2 linked regions of the Caenorhabditis elegans genome follow. The protein of the gene in region 1 interacts with the protein of each later gene in a biochemical or structural test. Each region holds a gene or a part of one and is shown on either strand. Other genes may lie near its edges. The genes, in order: ppk-3 and slc-36.1.

Region 1 (8,105 bases):
TCATCAAAAAGTCATGTTCATTCCAGAAATCAATCAGAGTTTATCGCAAAGTTAAACGTTCAAACACTGACCTTATCCAACGTATACGTTCTCATGTAGTCAACAATGCCCAGAATCAATTCTCCGTTGTCATCGTCGACACCAACCAGAAGCGAGTAGTCCATGATGTATTGAGAGCTCAGGAAGTGGCTGTCATTGCTGATCGCTTGATTCATGGCCGCTTTTGAGTGCGGCAGCACATAGAGCTGCTGATTCCAGAGGTCTTTCACAAAGTTTTCGTCCAAAAGAACCATCTCGTTGGCGCTTTTTCCAGTCGATGCGAGTCTAAAAAAACGTCATATGATCTTTAAAAACACAAAGAAAAAATGTATGATCAATTAGTCATAATACACTTAAAAGCAAAGTACGTCAGAAATTATCTAAATACAACAACCGGGAAAATTTGGTTATTTGTACTATTATTATCAGTATATACCTATAACCCACCTATTCCGAAGAGAGCCCTTCAGGTCCCAGACTTGGCTAACATTGTGATTGTAAAACAGGTACTCCATTACAAGAATGTCAACTTTCAATGTAGTCGTCTTGCTCTTGTATCCTATTCTAAACACTCCATATACTTTGCACAGGGTCGTCAATTTGCTTTCGGTCGCCGACGTTGTCAGATAATCAAAATAGTTGGGGGCAAACTTTACAAATGACTGAATCTCAAACCGTGACATTTGCTTCACCACAAATCGATCATCTTGAGTGCGGTAGAAAAATGAGCCGGATTTTCCACCTTGTGGTGTCCAGAAAGTGCTGTTGGAGAGGGAACGGATAAAAGTCTCTTCTCCTTCTGCAATGAGAAGTTCACGAAGTTTTCGGAATTTCTCGGCGTACAGCATCTGAAAAAATTGATATAATTTTGTCACATTTTAAGGCCCATTTTTTTACATTACATCTATTTTCAGCGTCTAGACGTAATAACAACTTTATTTAATATTCTATATGTGCCCTAGACCAATTGAAAATGTTGCACTTTTTAATGAGGCATCTGAAAATAAAGGCTCCAATATACAAAAACAAAAAAAATTGAGGGTGAGATTACAAGGGAATTTTCTCATAATATATAGCAGACTTACTTTCACATAGTATGACGCAGATTCATCCTCAAATTCCACCTCCAAGTGTTGACTAGAAGCGAGGTTTTCCCCATCATCCATCTGTGAAAATTTCAGAGAAGAGCTAGCCGAGTCCATTGAAACAGTGTCAGCTGCCTCAGGGATCTTATTGTAGTCAACTGCAGACAATGCGTATGCAATGATACTCCCAATATCTGGCTTGAAGTTTCCTCGAGTGTCTTGAATATCTCGTACCACTACTCCAAGTCTGGGTTGTAGCTTGATGGCAAGGTGAAGATGAGAGGGAAACGGATTTTCCAGTTTTTGAAGTGTGGCAATCTCTTGAATATCTTCTGGAGTTCTCTTGGGATACTTAATTGCTGCACAATTCTCATTCCAAAGAGCAATCAGATTGTATGTTACTTCTCTCACTTTCATAAATGTGCCAGTTACTTCTCTGTACAACCGATCATTTGACCGGATAAGATCCTCATCACCAGAGAGAATGTTTTTAGCAAACATCCTGCTCTCGCTTGCCAATGCCATTGTGTTCCGGATTGCACCAGCCAGTTTGACAACTATCGGAGTGATCTGAACTTCCTCATCAAGTTCTGCCAGCTGTTTGTTGGTGTCCTCACAAGCAGTCAGCGCAAGAGTGGCTATCCTGCTGACATCGTCCGAGAGCTCTTTTCTGCTCACTTTCAAAACCTTGACGCTGCAAATGATGGGCGAGAAGACAACACTGTAGGGGCGTATCTGAAAATATAAGGCTTTGCTGATTTTATAAAGTTTTATAAAGTATGCTTATATTAAAATAAAAAATCGCTTCTCAAACATTAAAACTATTTAAAAATTAAATACTTTGTATTTTTAGTATGTTTCTGTTTCTTCAATTTTTGTTGAACAAAACTTACCGCTATTACTTTGAATGTTGTCACCAAATTATCCATTGCAAAAAAGTACAACTTTTCATGGAAAAAGCAATGCGAGCATTGATTCTGATTAGTTATTGGGTAGATTGTGTCGGTGGTGAAGCACGAATTTCCAATGTACTCTAAGAATTTTGCAAACGACAGATGCCAGATTGCTTTGTCAAATTTCACCATTTGTGATGAACAGTTGCATCTGAAAATAACGAAATTTAAAAAAAAAGTTTAATAAAAGCGAAAATAATGTTCTTACTTTCCACAATTTCGCCATGTCATGATGCTCTTCTGCTGTTCTGATTCTATGGCGTTTTCTGCTTCGTTCACAGTTTGAGTTGAAATTTCTACGCAAACTTTTCCATAAACCAACTTTCTTGAATGATCCAGCATAGGTACCTCACAGTTTGATGACGGACATTCATAACTACGATTAAAACAGAACTTCACAAGAAACTCTCCGATTGTCATATCATGGTCCTTGTAGTACTGCATACTTACCACCCACGGACGTACACAAAAGTACGGAGCGTTGGGTGACTTTCGAGAAAACGAGCCAAAAAGGACAGCAAGTGTCTGATGAACTCTTGGATCTAAAACATCCTTTGCACGGAATGGCTGCTTCTCGGTCTCCACAATTTTTCTATGCTTCACAATTTGAGCAGTTCGTCGCCGAAAATTGATTCCTCCAAAAAGGCGGAAAGATCTTGCCACATTGTCAAGGATCGCACCACGATTACATTGAGCAAAAGCGTGTCGACGGTCTACCAGAAGTGGTTCTTTCTTTGGGATAGGTACAATATCTTCTTCGTATCCTTGCTTGATGAGCTCAACATCGCCAGGCTTTAAAAGTTTATACAGTGGTTGCTTGAAGTAGGCAATGAGCGGACATTCCCTGAAATTTGTGAATAAATTTTTCTGGTGTTTTTTTAAATTTAATTTTGAATCTATGTTGAAAAATTATGCATGTTTTTGAAAAATATTTTTATGAATAGAAGTCGTTTTCATGAATTGTAAACTAATCTTTTTAACTGATTAGATATTCATGCTAGAAATATATTTTTAAAAAACTTCTATGTTAGGCTAGGTTTAGTGTTGTGTTAGGCAAAACTTTTACAATTGCTTTAATATGATTATTTCATAAATTGCCCGCAGTGTGCACTCTGACGTGACCGTGTTTGCAGATTTTTATGAGGCGCTCTTTTCACTCACCTCCCGGTTGCAGTCTCCAAAAGTGGTGGCTCAAATTCAATCACTGGTGAGCTTGACAGCATCGTCGCATAGAGATTCTTTTCAAATTCAGTCTGAAAATACAAAAACATATGAGAAACGATGTTGATAAACCATCAACCTTTTCACCCTGCGAGTAAACGATAGCACGGCGTTTTTCACAAACAACGCAATCAGATTGTCTCCTCGCAATTGTAGTATTAAAAGCATTTAGATAGGATTGCTCCAAGTAATTAGAGTAGACAATAGTGACCAGGAACTGCACAACACGTTTCACGGCCACTAATTCTTTCAAATCATCTCCATGCAAGAGCACTGTACATCCAGTTTCCTTTTGGCAATCAGCAAAGATCATCAAAGTCTTGATCCTTCCGTCCTCCTGTTGCATATTCCGTTGTTGAAATTCCGGGCAACATCCTAAATTTTGCTCAACCAACTGAGAATCTGAGTTTGAGACAATATCAGCTCCAGTGGCTCTTGAAATACGTTGTAATATACTCATTTTCACATTGACCGCTACTTTGATTCCACGCTTGTGAAGCAGTTGAGCAGCGATATGCGAGACTCCTCCTTCCACTAGAATCAATGAAGCACGTTTGGTGGCAATTCGATCAATCTGGAAAATTGTTTATTCTATTTAGTTTCGATTTCAATGGTTGTATAATACAAGTGCATTTATTCAGACGTGTGGTACTTATTCATATTGTCAACTTTTAGATTAGCAACTAAATCTGACACACACACAGTTAATGACTATTTCCATGAACATACGCACCTGCTTCTCTAAAAATTTCTCTTCTTGCACAATAATCGGCTCAATAGATGAAAGTTTGTTTGAGACTCTTTCATATTCAATTGAACCGCTAACAATCATAATTGACTCGGTCGTATGGCTGCTTTCATCTTCTTCTGACAAACTTTTGTAGACTAAACTTCTACTGCAAGCCACTCCCCAAATGATTTCCGAATCAACTTTCCCTTCTTTCTTGTGAACTTTCTTGACGTGTACGTAGTCAGCAATATTCATTGTGTCTCCACTTGGAACGTTCACAGTTACATTCTCCACTACTTCATAGACACTCTTCAGAATTAGATCTCTCCATTTGTCTTCTCGGATGTACTCTCGTTTCATCACTTCGTCTAGAATTCGTTCAGTATTTCGGCGGAACAACTCTTCCAAATTGTCCCGCTGTTCTTCCTTCGCTGCGTTCATAACGGATTCATCAAGTGACAGGGACGGAAAGGTGATTTTACGATCAGTAGTGGCTGAGGTTGGCTCCGCAGCTCTGGCATCCATCATTTCTGTAAACTCGTTGGTTATCGCTCCAGCGAGATTTGCATACGCAAAAACATCAGCTGAGTCGGAAGTCTGAAAGTCAAACAAAATAATAAATTATTTCCACAATTAAATATTTAAGCTTCCTCACTTCATTGTTGATAACACCGTCCATTCCAGGATGCATTGTTCGAAACCAGTCTGGTCCCGATTCCTCTTCCTCGGTGATCATTGGATGGGAATGACTGTTTGTGAGCATAGCCGAGTTTGATGCACAGAGATCCGCAACTGATAGAATTGTCGGAACTCCTGGACCATTGCTACTTTGAGCCAACGAGTTGCGGCGGCTTCCAAGTTGAGGTGGGGATGTAATTTCCGGAGGCATCGACGATTCTGGGGGGCAGAGTGACCAAATAGCTCCTGAAATTATTTGTCTTTAATTTCTATGTAGAATGTTTGTGTTTAGCTAAACTAATAGAGTTATGTCGTTGTGAAAATATGAACAACTGCCAGTGTTCTTGAAAGCTCAAGCCTCGTAGATACATTTTTAAAAAGACAATAAAAAATTAAACTAAGAATCCTAATGCCCTCTTGGAATCGGAAAATCTCACCATTCGAAACTGTTCTCACAGTATCCGAATTCTTGTGTGCAGTATTCCTATCAAAGCTAATTTTTCTGCTGTTCACTGGCGTCTGACTTCTTGTCGTCGACGTCGTCGGCGTCTGCTTTCCCTCTTCGGCAAGTCGTTGAACCTTTCGAGCACAGTAATCACAAAGTCTGAGCTCGCCCATGTATCCCAAAGCTGCTCCGTCAATGTGACTACTACAACATTTTGCACAGAAAATCTGTCCGCAAAGTCGACAATGATGACGTCGTCGGAAAGTTGTGAACCGTTCTTCGCACTGGTAACACTCTCTTCCCGTTGAGTCAGGCATCCAGTATTGTTCTAAAAAAATTTGAATTGACGTCAGAGTGCTTATAGAATATGAAATACTTACTGAAATTGCTGTCGTTGTAGTCTTTGAGCTGCGGGTTAACTTTTGATTTGAGTAATCCTGTGAACTTATCGGTTAAAGATCTTTGAAAGCCACTTTCTTCGGATGTTCGGGATTCTGGAATAGAGGATCATTGTTTGTCGATCAGATAATAAGAAAATTTCCGATGTTTTTATATTATAGAGTTATTAAAATCAAACAATTCATCAGAATCGAAATGAATTGCAAAATTTGTTTCTCCGAAAAATGCACAAAATAATTGTTATATATTTTTAGTCGATGAAAATCTACCTCCAGACTCCGTCCTCTCCAAGTTCTGTCTTTCTTCTGTGGGAGGCACAACTCCGTTTGGCTGCGGCGATCCATCGCTTCGGAATATTTGCCCAATAATGTTTGAAAAGTAACCACCTGAAGACACTATCAACTTTTATTAATAAAAATAATTCAAATCACACAAAAAACTTACCGGAAACTGGTGTTGGTTCTTCTGTTTCTGGTGGTGGCTCGAGTTTTTCAAAAAACTGCAACTCGCTGGCATCCCCCATTACTCTGGAATTGATAGATCCGAGTATTTGGATAAATATATAACAAAGCACTAGCAGAGAGATTTAATTGGAGAAAAAGAAGGAAGAGATCCAAGTGAGCGGCATGGGGAAATGAAAGAAAGATCAAACCATCAAAACAGGCAAGTTGCGGAGGCAGTGTTGCTAGCGAGAGACTGTGCTAAAACAGGAGGGTGTTGGCAGAGGAGCGCATTTGCTGACCTCTTTGGGTCAGCAAAGAAAAGTTATTCCCGCGCAATTAGACGGATAGGCGGAAAAAAACAAGGTGTGTACATGCAGTGTTCCATGTTTCGCTGTTTATTTCCCGGGAAAAAACTCATATTGATATTTCAGAAAAGATTGCGAAATCTTTCTTATATATATTGAAAAAAGTGCAATTTTTTTCTAAGTTTTATTCTCAACTCCGCTCGAAAATCGACAATAATGTATGGGAAACCAAAAACCAAAAAAAGAGCAGAATCTCATGCTCTGCGATCACAACTAATAAAATTAACACCAGGAGCGTGAACAAAAATCAAATAAAACTGGGAATGCATGTCAGATGCAACTTTGCCACACTACTGCAAACGTGTTGCGCAATGTGCAGCTGGTCACAGTGATGAGTCTGTAATGTCTGTATTGCTTCAATCAGTACCACCAAACTATGACGAATACTTCCTCATAAGCATTGCTGTTCTTATGAGTGAAGTTGAGGTTTAAAAGTAATTATTTATGAAATAAATAACAAATTTTAGTAAGACAATTTTCAATTTCAACCTACAAAAAATACATGACAGACAATGCTTTTAAGACCAGACGAGATCCAGAAGAGCATTAAATGACATTATGTATATACATTTTCCTCTCTACCGTAACTGTTTCGACAAAATATGTGCAAATATTTTTCTACGTTTTTGACAGATTTTTTGCTAATACTGAAATTAACCGAAGTATAAGTCGTCATAATAGAACAATATTTCACATGTCATGCTTTACAATTCTGGAATGCTAATTAAAGTACCAATTATATTATCCAACTTTTCACATGCTTCCTCGTTCAAATTTTCTCACTGGCCACGGCATGTCACCATTGATCTCTGAGCATCGAAAAAATTGTGAGCCCCGCCAAGATGCCGCGGCGACGCCCCCAAGTGAATTCGCCCAATATTTATCTCGTCGGCACCGGACACCCTCTAGAGAGACCATCTCCTACTCATTTTTCAAATCGGCCCCCGGCTAGTCTCGCGACCTTACCACACTTGTTGCCTTTTTACTTATTTAGCAAGTTACTGAGAGTCGTACAAATTTTTGAGAATACCGTTTTTTTTCTAAGTTTATTAACTATCTGAAAATGCAGATTATGTTTTATTAACATGTTGACAATTTCTTGCTTCTATTATATTTTTTTTTTTAAATACAATTTCCCCATATGGCAAATTTCAGTATTCACTATGAGCTTTTCAAAAGAAAACGAAATAGATTCATTTCCAATTGATCGTGTGACCGGAAGAGTTCGCGGTTCAGTGAATATGATTGATATACAGAGAAATGTGGAATGGGTTGAAGTTAGCGGACGGTGGAGTAGAATGTCGGTAAGAAAAACTTACAGGTCCCATTTTGGTTCGTCCACAGCTTCTAGAGCAGTTTCTGGAGCAGTTTCCAGTTCAGCAGTAGTAGAAGTAGTTGTATCTCGTATTGTAGTAGTTTCTTGACTTGCAATTGGCTGTAAGATTTTCAAAAATTTGCAAAGGAACATAAAAAATTACTTACTGGTTGCCACCACGTTGCAAATAATGTTCTGCTGACATATTCAAAAATAGAAATCTGATTAGTTTTCTGAATTTCGGTGCGATAACGAACTTTCGGAAAAAAGAATAGATATGATCGTCGATTTGAATTATCTGAATTCATGATGGCCCTTTCAAATGCTAGCACGTTTAATTTATATTATTTCTTAACAATGAGGAATAATAGACTGAAGATGGGCAGAAAATCGATTTTATGATAAATGTGTTTGTTCACTTCTTTGCCGCGT
Region 2 (7,910 bases), on another chromosome or scaffold:
ATTGACATTGATATTGGTCAGCATTAGAATAAAAAAGCTTTAAAACCTACCATTCGAATGATGCACTCGGATTGCTTCATAGCACGCTCCTTCAACTGCTCAGTCTTCCGAACAACTTCCTCCTTGAGAGAAAGAATCTCTGCAGAATTGTTCGCATCGTTGAAGCGGACTTCAGCCGGCGCGATTCCTTGCTTCAGGTCAGCATTCTCTTTCTGAAGGCGCTTCAGTTGAGCTTGTAGGATGGCGATCTCCTCGGCTTTCGGATTTTTGTTGACTATCGGCTTGTTCTTGATCTGCTTGGCACGATCTGCATAGCGAAGCGTGTTGAGAGTCTCTTGAGAGTTGGAATCAGCGGGAGAGATGCAGGCAAGAAAGACTGTGAACGAATTTCCACCGAGAGAATCTTGAAGGACGCGGGTGATCACAGAGTTTCTGTATGGGATGTGCTTCTGCTTCGTGGCCAACGCTGCGATGACTTGGGAAAGAATCAAAAGTCCACCATTGATGTTGATGCCTTCTTTCATACGATTTCCTTCGGCTTCCGTCTTCTTCAGCCTCTCGGATCCAGCCAAATCGACCAATTGGAGCTTCGCGCTGAATGCGCTATCACACTCTGCAGTGGCAGTTTTCTCCACGAACACTGTGAAAACCGCATGAGACCTGCTGGACATGGCGTTCATCGCAGTTTCCGCCTTTGTTCGATAGTGGCATCCGACTGCCAGCTGCTTGAGCGCTCCCTTCAAATCGATAACAGGAACTGCCGTCAGATTCACGACGGTGCAGTTCTTCTCGTCTCCGTGCACATTCAGCTTGACTTTGTCCGGACGAAGAAGGTCGTACACGTTGTCTCCGTAGACCTCGAACATGGAAACGGTCACCGCAAACGATTCTGGAGCCTCGGTGTTCATGATTCTTTGGAACAACGCACTGACGAGACGCGGAATAATTCCACGACGCATTTCGTCGGTGCCAACGTTGTCTTCAGTGCCCATGGTGTAGGTCTTTCCACTTCCAGTTTGTCCATAAGCCAACACTGTCGCATTGAAACCCGCGAAAATTCGATCCAACAAGGGCAGTGCAGTTGTCTCGTAGACGCTCTCCTGATCCGACGTGTCAGCAAAGACCGCATCGAAGGTGAACGTTGCCGACTCGTTTATCACTATCTGAAAAACAAAGATTTTAGGATTTTTCGGATAAAACGCAGGAAAAAACTAACCTGCTTTGTGTTCTCGTAAAACTGGACACATCGACTTGCGCCTTCCTTAGTCTCTCGACCATTCATAGGCCGAGCACGGACCACAACCCGGAGAGAAGCATCGGAGCTCATCTCGGGAAGAAAACACGAAAATGAATGATTTTTCACGAATGAATGAGAGGGGGGGGGGGCGGAGGCTTTTGAAATCAAAATTTCGCGCCGCGAGTGTATTTACGGACAAGACGTCAGAGTTCACGCACAATTGCGGACCCAGTGAAAAAAAAAATGTTTTTCTGTTTTTATTTAATTAATGAAGAAGTTCTTCATCATTTTGCTCACTTTTCTCTGTATTTTAACATGTTTTCTTCCCGAGATTAAGCCATAAACCTTCGAAAATGAGCAAATTATCACTAAATATATTGATTTTAAAATAATTTTCAGCGAAAAATGGCGAATCCTGCCAGAGACGGCTATCAGGAATTTGATAATGAGCCGGAGGCCCCCGGAGATACAGAGGTACAGACACCACGAAGAAATACAGTTTCCGAGGACACATCGTTATTTCAAGATCGTCTTCCGACAGAAAATTCGTTGACTCCGGAGCAGGTGGATTATTTTTACTTTAAAATTTGTTAAAAATCAATTTTAAATTTAAATTTTTATAATTCAGGCATTCATCCACATGGTCAAAGCAATGTTAGGAACCGGATTATTGTCCCTTCCGCTAGCTTTCAAGCATTCTGGGCTTTTTGTTAGTTTTATTTTCTTCGCCTTTCTCTGAAAACCTGAAAACCCCCATAAATTCCAGCTCGGATTAATTCTCACAGTGCTCATCTGCCTGATATGTTTATATTGCATGCGGCAGGTCGTTTTTGCCGCTCATTTTGTGTGTAACAGGTGATTTAAGCGATTTTTAAAGGCGGAGTAGAGCCAAAAAAAAGTTTTTTTTTTGCTTCAAATGACAGAAAATATACTCAAATAACCGAATATAACTGTAAAAAATTTGAAAAAAATTCTAAATTTTTTATTGATTTTTTAAGTTTTTCAAAAATCAAAGAAACGGCCGAATTAAATAGTTTCTGGCTAAATTCGTCGTTTTTTCTAGATTTTTCTTCTATATTTGATTTAAAACACCATTGGCCAATTTTTAAAATAGTTTATCATGAAAAAATTAATAAAAAATATTAAATTGCGGATTTTGACATTTCTGGCAATTTCCTTAGGGTTATCAAGTTTTTTTTTCACGGAGAAACGGTTAAATAATTGATAAACGGTGTTTTAAATCAATATTTAACCGTTTTTCCGTTAAAAAAACTTGATAACCTTAGGGAAATTGTCATAAATGTCAAAATTGGCCTAAAATCCGCAATTTAATATTTTTTTAATAATTTTTTTCATGATAAACTATTTCAAAAATTGACCAATGGTGTTTTAAATCAAATATACAAAAAAAAACCGAGAAAACCCGACGAATTTATCCAGAAACGATTTAATTCGGCCGTTTCTTTGATTTTTGAAAAATTTAAAAAATCATTTAAAAAATTTAGAAAAATTTATTAAATTTTTTTACAGTTATATTCGGTTATTTGGGTATATTTTCTGTCATTTGAAGCAAGAATTTTGCTATTTTTGATGCAATTTTTTTCAGAAATGGTCGAGATCTCATCGATTATGCGAATATTATGCGAGGCGCCGTGGAAATGGGACCACCGTGGATAAAGCGGAATGGATACTTCTTCAAGTACGGGGAATTTTAAGGGTTTTTAACCCCAAAATTCTTTAATTTCAGACAACTTGTAAATGTAAATATGTTCATCTCTCAACTGGGCTTCTGCTGTGTATATTTTGTGTTTATGGCCGATAATTTGGAGGATGTAAGGGAAATTTTCCGAAAAAACTTACTCAAAATTAAGCTTTAATTGCAGTTTTTCAACAATAACACGTCAATTCATTTGTCAAAAGCAGTTTGGATGCTTCTGCTCCTTATTCCGATGCTCTCAATTTGTTCAATTCGTCGTCTTTCAATTCTTGCTCCATTTGCAATGGCTGCAAATGTTGTCTACGTGGTTGCAGTTGCCGTTGTTCTGTTTTTCTTCCTTTCAGGTGTGAAAAACTGGTTTTTTTCTTAGAAAATTTGAAATTCCCGCCAAAATGTATTTTTCTCAAGAAATTTGAATTTCCCGCCAAAAGTTGTTTCCCCGAAAATTAAAAAAAATCTCGCCGAAAAATTTAAAATTCCCGCTAAAGTTTTTCGCAGAAAATTTGAATTTTCCGCCTAAAATTTTATTCAGAAAATTTGAACTACCCAACAAAATGTAATTTTCTCAAAAAAATTTCTCTGAAAATTCGAAATTCCCGCGAAGATGTTTTTTCCAGAAAATTTGAATTTCCGTGAAGCCTCAAAAAAAATTTAAATTCCCAATTTTTTTTCCAGATCTCCGGCCAATTTCTTCTCTCCCGTGGTTCGGAAAAGCCACGGATTTGCCACTTTTCTTCGGAACTGTAATGTTCGCGTTCGAAGGAGTCGCTGTGGTAAGCGGATTTTCTGGAGATCGATCTGTGAATTTTGCAAGCCTGCGGCACGGTTTTAATGGCAAAACTGGCAAAACTAGGCTCCGCCTTGACAGTTCGAATAAATTTATTTATATAAAATCCAACTAATTTCAGATAATGCCAATTGAAAATCGAATGCAATCTCCACATGCGTTCATTTCTTGGAATGGAGTTTTGAACTCATCCTGCCTTGTCGTTCTCGCGATTTTCAGCGTTACTGGATTCTATGGGTACGGTGGGAAACAAGGAGAAATTGCCGAGTTTCTTTGAAAAAAAATTGAAAATTGTTAGATTTTCTTTAAAATAATCAAAATTTTTCGATTTTTCTGAAAAAACAAATTGGAAATTATTAGATTTTCTCTGAAAATAATCAAATTTTTCTGATTTCCTGTGAAAAAAAAATCAAAATAGTCGATTTTTTCTGAAAAAAAATAAAATTTCGAGTTTCCCTGGAAAAAAAAACAATTTTTATCGATTTTCTCTGAAAATAACATTGACAATTGCTAGATTTTCTGTGAGAAAAATCAAAAATTTTCGATGTTCTTTGAACAAAATAACAAAAATTTTCGATATTTTTTGAAAAAAAGCAATTTTTTTCGTTTTTTTCTGAAAAAAAATTGGAAAATGTTAGATTTTCTCTGAAAAAATCAAAATTTTCTGATTTTCTGTGAAAAAAAATCAAAATTTTTCGATTTTCTCTTAAAAAACTTAAAAAATTTCGATTATCTGTGAAAAAAAATAATTTTTTTTTCGATTTTCTCTGAAAAAAAAATTGAAAATTATTAGATTTTCTCTGAAAAAATCAAGATTTTCCGTTTTTCTGTGAAAAAAATCAAAATTTTTCCGATTTTCTCTGGTAAAAATTACAATTCTTTCGATTTTCTCTATTTAAAAAAAATCGGTTTTCTCTTTGAAAGTAAAACTTTCCGATTTTCACTTAAAAAAATATAAAAAATTTTGATTTTCTCTTGCAGAAATTACAATTTTTTCGATTTCATGGGAAATTCCTAATTTTCTTTAAAATTTTTTAATTTTCTTCCAGATATTTATCACTTGGAAATGATGTCAAAGACACAGCTACCCTCAATTTGCCAATGACACCGTAAGTTTAATGATGAAGAGAGAGAGTGAGAGAGAGTTTAGAGAAGCAGAGATAATTGTTTGGACTTTGATCAACTGACCGTTTACGCTTTTGTGTCTGTGTATGTGACTCAATAATAACAGAAGAGAAATTAAATAACAAATGTGTTACGAATTGGGGGCTAACTGAATAATAATATTAAAAAATTGGATTTTTTCAGGTAAAATCGAAAAAATTCTTCGAAAAAGTAAATAGAAAATTTCCGATTTCTCGTTTTTGAAACGATTCGGAGTAAAATCAAAAAATTTCAGTTTTCAGAGTGAACCGAGAAATTGCGGATTTTGCTTAAAATCCCTAGAAAATCTCTTTAAAAGTAGAGAAGTTCGCGAAAATTTCCGTAAATTCAAATTTTTTAATTTCAAAAACAAATTGTGCTATATAAATACGAGGAAAAATCAAGAAAAATCAAGAAAATCAAGAAAAAACCAGTAAATTTAGCTGGGTAACGTAAAAATGCAATAAAAATTTTTTTTTTAATTCTTTTAATTTTTGAGACTGTTTTCAATCATTTAGAGCGAAATTTTTATTCACAATATTGCTATAATTGCTTGGGACACAATTTTATTGTAAAAAAGGCAGAAATTCTTTTAAAAATGCATTGAATACCAGTTTTCCTTGCTATTAAATTTTTTAAAAATTACTTTTTAACAATTTCAGATTCTATCAAACGAATTTGGGGGTTAACTGAATAATAATATTAAAAAATCGATTTTTTTCAGGTAAAATCGAACAAAATTCTTCAAAAAGCTGAAAAATTTCCGATTTCTCGTTTTTGACACAATTCAGAGAAAAATCAAAAAATTATATAACTCAAAAAATGAATTTTTTTAATTCGAAAAACGAAAAGTTGGGGAAACTGTACTTTAAAAAAGAGAAGATGTAGTATAAATATGTGGATTTTGTTTAAAATACTAAGAAAATCTCTTTAAAAGTAGAGAAATTCGCGGAAATTTCCGTAAATTCAAATTTTTTAATTTCAAAGTCAAGAAAAAACCAGTAAATTTAGCTGGGTAACGTAAAAATGCAAAAAAAAATTAAAAAAAAACATTCTTTCAATTTTTGAGACTGTTTTCTATCATTTACAGCGAAATTTTCATTCACAATATTGCTATAATTGCTTGGAACAAAAGTTTTTTTGTAAAAAAGGCAGAAATTCTTCTAACAATGCCTAAAAAATAATTTTTCAAAATTACTTTTTTAGCAATTTCAGATTCTATCAAACGATAAAATTAATGTTCACGAACTGGGGGCCATCAATAAAAAATATGTCAAAAAAAAAAATAAATAATGAAAAAATTTTTTTTTTTTTAAATCAGAATAATTTTAAAAAAATTCAATTTCAGATTCTATCAAACGATAAAATTAATGTTTGTGGCGTGCATCATGATCTCCTATCCTCTTCAATTCTATGTGCCAATGGAAAGAATCGAAAAATGGATTACTAGAAAGGTTTTTTGGAGAAATTTCCATGAAAATTGGTCAAAATTCTTCAAAATTTCAGATTCCCGTCGATAAACAAACATTGTACATCTACATTGCCAGATATTCCGGAGTTATTTTGACTTGTAAGTTTCAAAAAAAAAATATTATTCGCAAAAATTATTTTTTTTTTCATTTTCCGTTTAAAAAAATCTAAAATTGACCTAAATATCGATAATTTAAGTTTTTTTGTTGCGGAAAAATTGTGTTTCAAAAATAATAATCAAATAATAAGTTTAGAAAAAAATCATAACAAATTTAGAAAATTTTAATAAATTTTTAAACAGTTATATTTGGTAAATTGAGACTTTTTCTGACATTTTTGATCAAAAAAATAAAATAATTGGTCTAAAAATCGATAATTATACATTTATTTAAACTTTTTTCGCAGAAAATTGTGTTTCAAATCGATAATGAAATAAAAATTGAGAGAATTTCGGTAAATCCAGACTTTTTCTGAGACATTTTGGAAATATACTATAAAAATTGCACATAAAAATCAAAGGTTTTTTTTCAGGTTGATATCAAATAATTAATTTAGACGAGAAAAAAATTATATAAAAATTTAGAAAAAAACTGATTTTTTCTAATTTTTTGAAAAAAAATTTCCAGGTGCAATAGCTGAGCTTATTCCTCATTTGGCTCTTTTCATCTCATTAATCGGAGCATTTTCTGGAGCTTCAATGGCTCTTCTCTTCCCTCCGTGCATTGAACTTTTGGTAGGAATTTTTGAATTCCAATTTTTTTAAATTAATTAAAAATGAAAAAAATTGAATTTTTTTCAGACATCCTACGCGAAAAACGAGTTGAGCACTGGATTATGGATCAAAAATATCGTTCTTCTCACTTTTGCCTTTATTGGATTCACAACGGGAACCTATAGTGCACTTATCGAAATTGCAAAAACTTTTGCATAGATTTAAATATCTATAATATTTAAATATTTTCAGCGTTTTAGCTGGAAATTCCCAGAATTTTATTGCACCTTTATGGAATTTTTTGGAATTTTTTTTTGTATATTTCGTGTCCTTCCTTGTCGGTTGTTCAATTTGTGATGATGATTTTTTCATATTTTTGCGGCATTTTTTTTTCATTTTCGTTTCATTCCCGAATAACATGTACTATTTATTTTGTTAATAAAATTCGAGCTTCTGTGAATATTTTTTATCGAATTTTTTGAAATATTATTTAAATGTGGTATCAATTTTAACCAATTTATTTAAATATCTCGATTCAATTTTATATTACCCAGCCGCAAAATTTTGCAATTTTCACACTAAAAATACGGTACCCGGTCTCACAACGACAATATTTTGTTAAATACAAACGGGCGTGCACCTTTAAAGAGTACTGTAGTTTCAAACTTGTGTTGCTGCAAATCATGAAATTCCGTACGTTTCAACAAAAGTTTGAAATTACAGTACTCTTTAAAGGCGCACACCTTTTCCGCATTTAACCAATATTTGCCGTGGCGAGACCGGGAAAACCGAAAAATTGGAAAAATGTTTAGAAAATTAACAAAAAAAACTATTTTTTATCAAA

The links.
Region 2: the proteins of ppk-3 (region 1) and slc-36.1 form a complex in vitro, tested with the Caenorhabditis elegans proteins (one study listed by BioGRID).

What each region holds. Positions count from the first base shown.
Region 1 is NC_003284.9:12,969,571-12,977,675, forward strand, and holds the start of ppk-3 (1-phosphatidylinositol-3-phosphate 5-kinase), read right to left. Parts: upstream 6,074-8,105; coding exon 5,995-6,073; intron 5,946-5,994; coding exon 5,820-5,945; intron 5,646-5,819; coding exon 5,532-5,645; intron 5,480-5,531; coding exon 5,144-5,479; intron 4,953-5,143; coding exon 4,684-4,952; intron 4,626-4,683; coding exon 4,032-4,625; intron 3,873-4,031; coding exon 3,378-3,872; intron 3,331-3,377; coding exon 3,239-3,330; intron 2,922-3,238; coding exon 2,286-2,921; intron 2,229-2,285; coding exon 2,018-2,228; intron 1,860-2,017; coding exon 1,125-1,859; intron 888-1,124; coding exon 487-887; intron 325-486; coding exon 72-324; intron 1-71. Other genes in the region: F11C1.10 (Photosystem reaction center subunit H), read left to right, coding at 7,522-7,662; F11C1.9 (uncharacterized protein), read right to left, coding at 7,674-7,793, 7,841-7,981.
Region 2 is NC_003281.10:13,305,866-13,313,775, forward strand, and holds slc-36.1 (Amino acid transporter transmembrane domain-containing protein), read left to right. Parts: upstream 1-1,636; 5' UTR 1,637-1,642; coding exon 1,643-1,801; intron 1,802-1,865; coding exon 1,866-1,946; intron 1,947-2,003; coding exon 2,004-2,092; intron 2,093-2,843; coding exon 2,844-2,936; intron 2,937-2,984; coding exon 2,985-3,069; intron 3,070-3,120; coding exon 3,121-3,298; intron 3,299-3,629; coding exon 3,630-3,727; intron 3,728-3,862; coding exon 3,863-3,978; intron 3,979-4,790; coding exon 4,791-4,850; intron 4,851-6,232; coding exon 6,233-6,338; intron 6,339-6,390; coding exon 6,391-6,454; intron 6,455-6,980; coding exon 6,981-7,087; intron 7,088-7,153; coding exon 7,154-7,285; 3' UTR 7,286-7,524; downstream 7,525-7,910. Other genes in the region: Kinesin-like protein klp-19, read right to left, coding at 51-1,163, 1,217-1,327.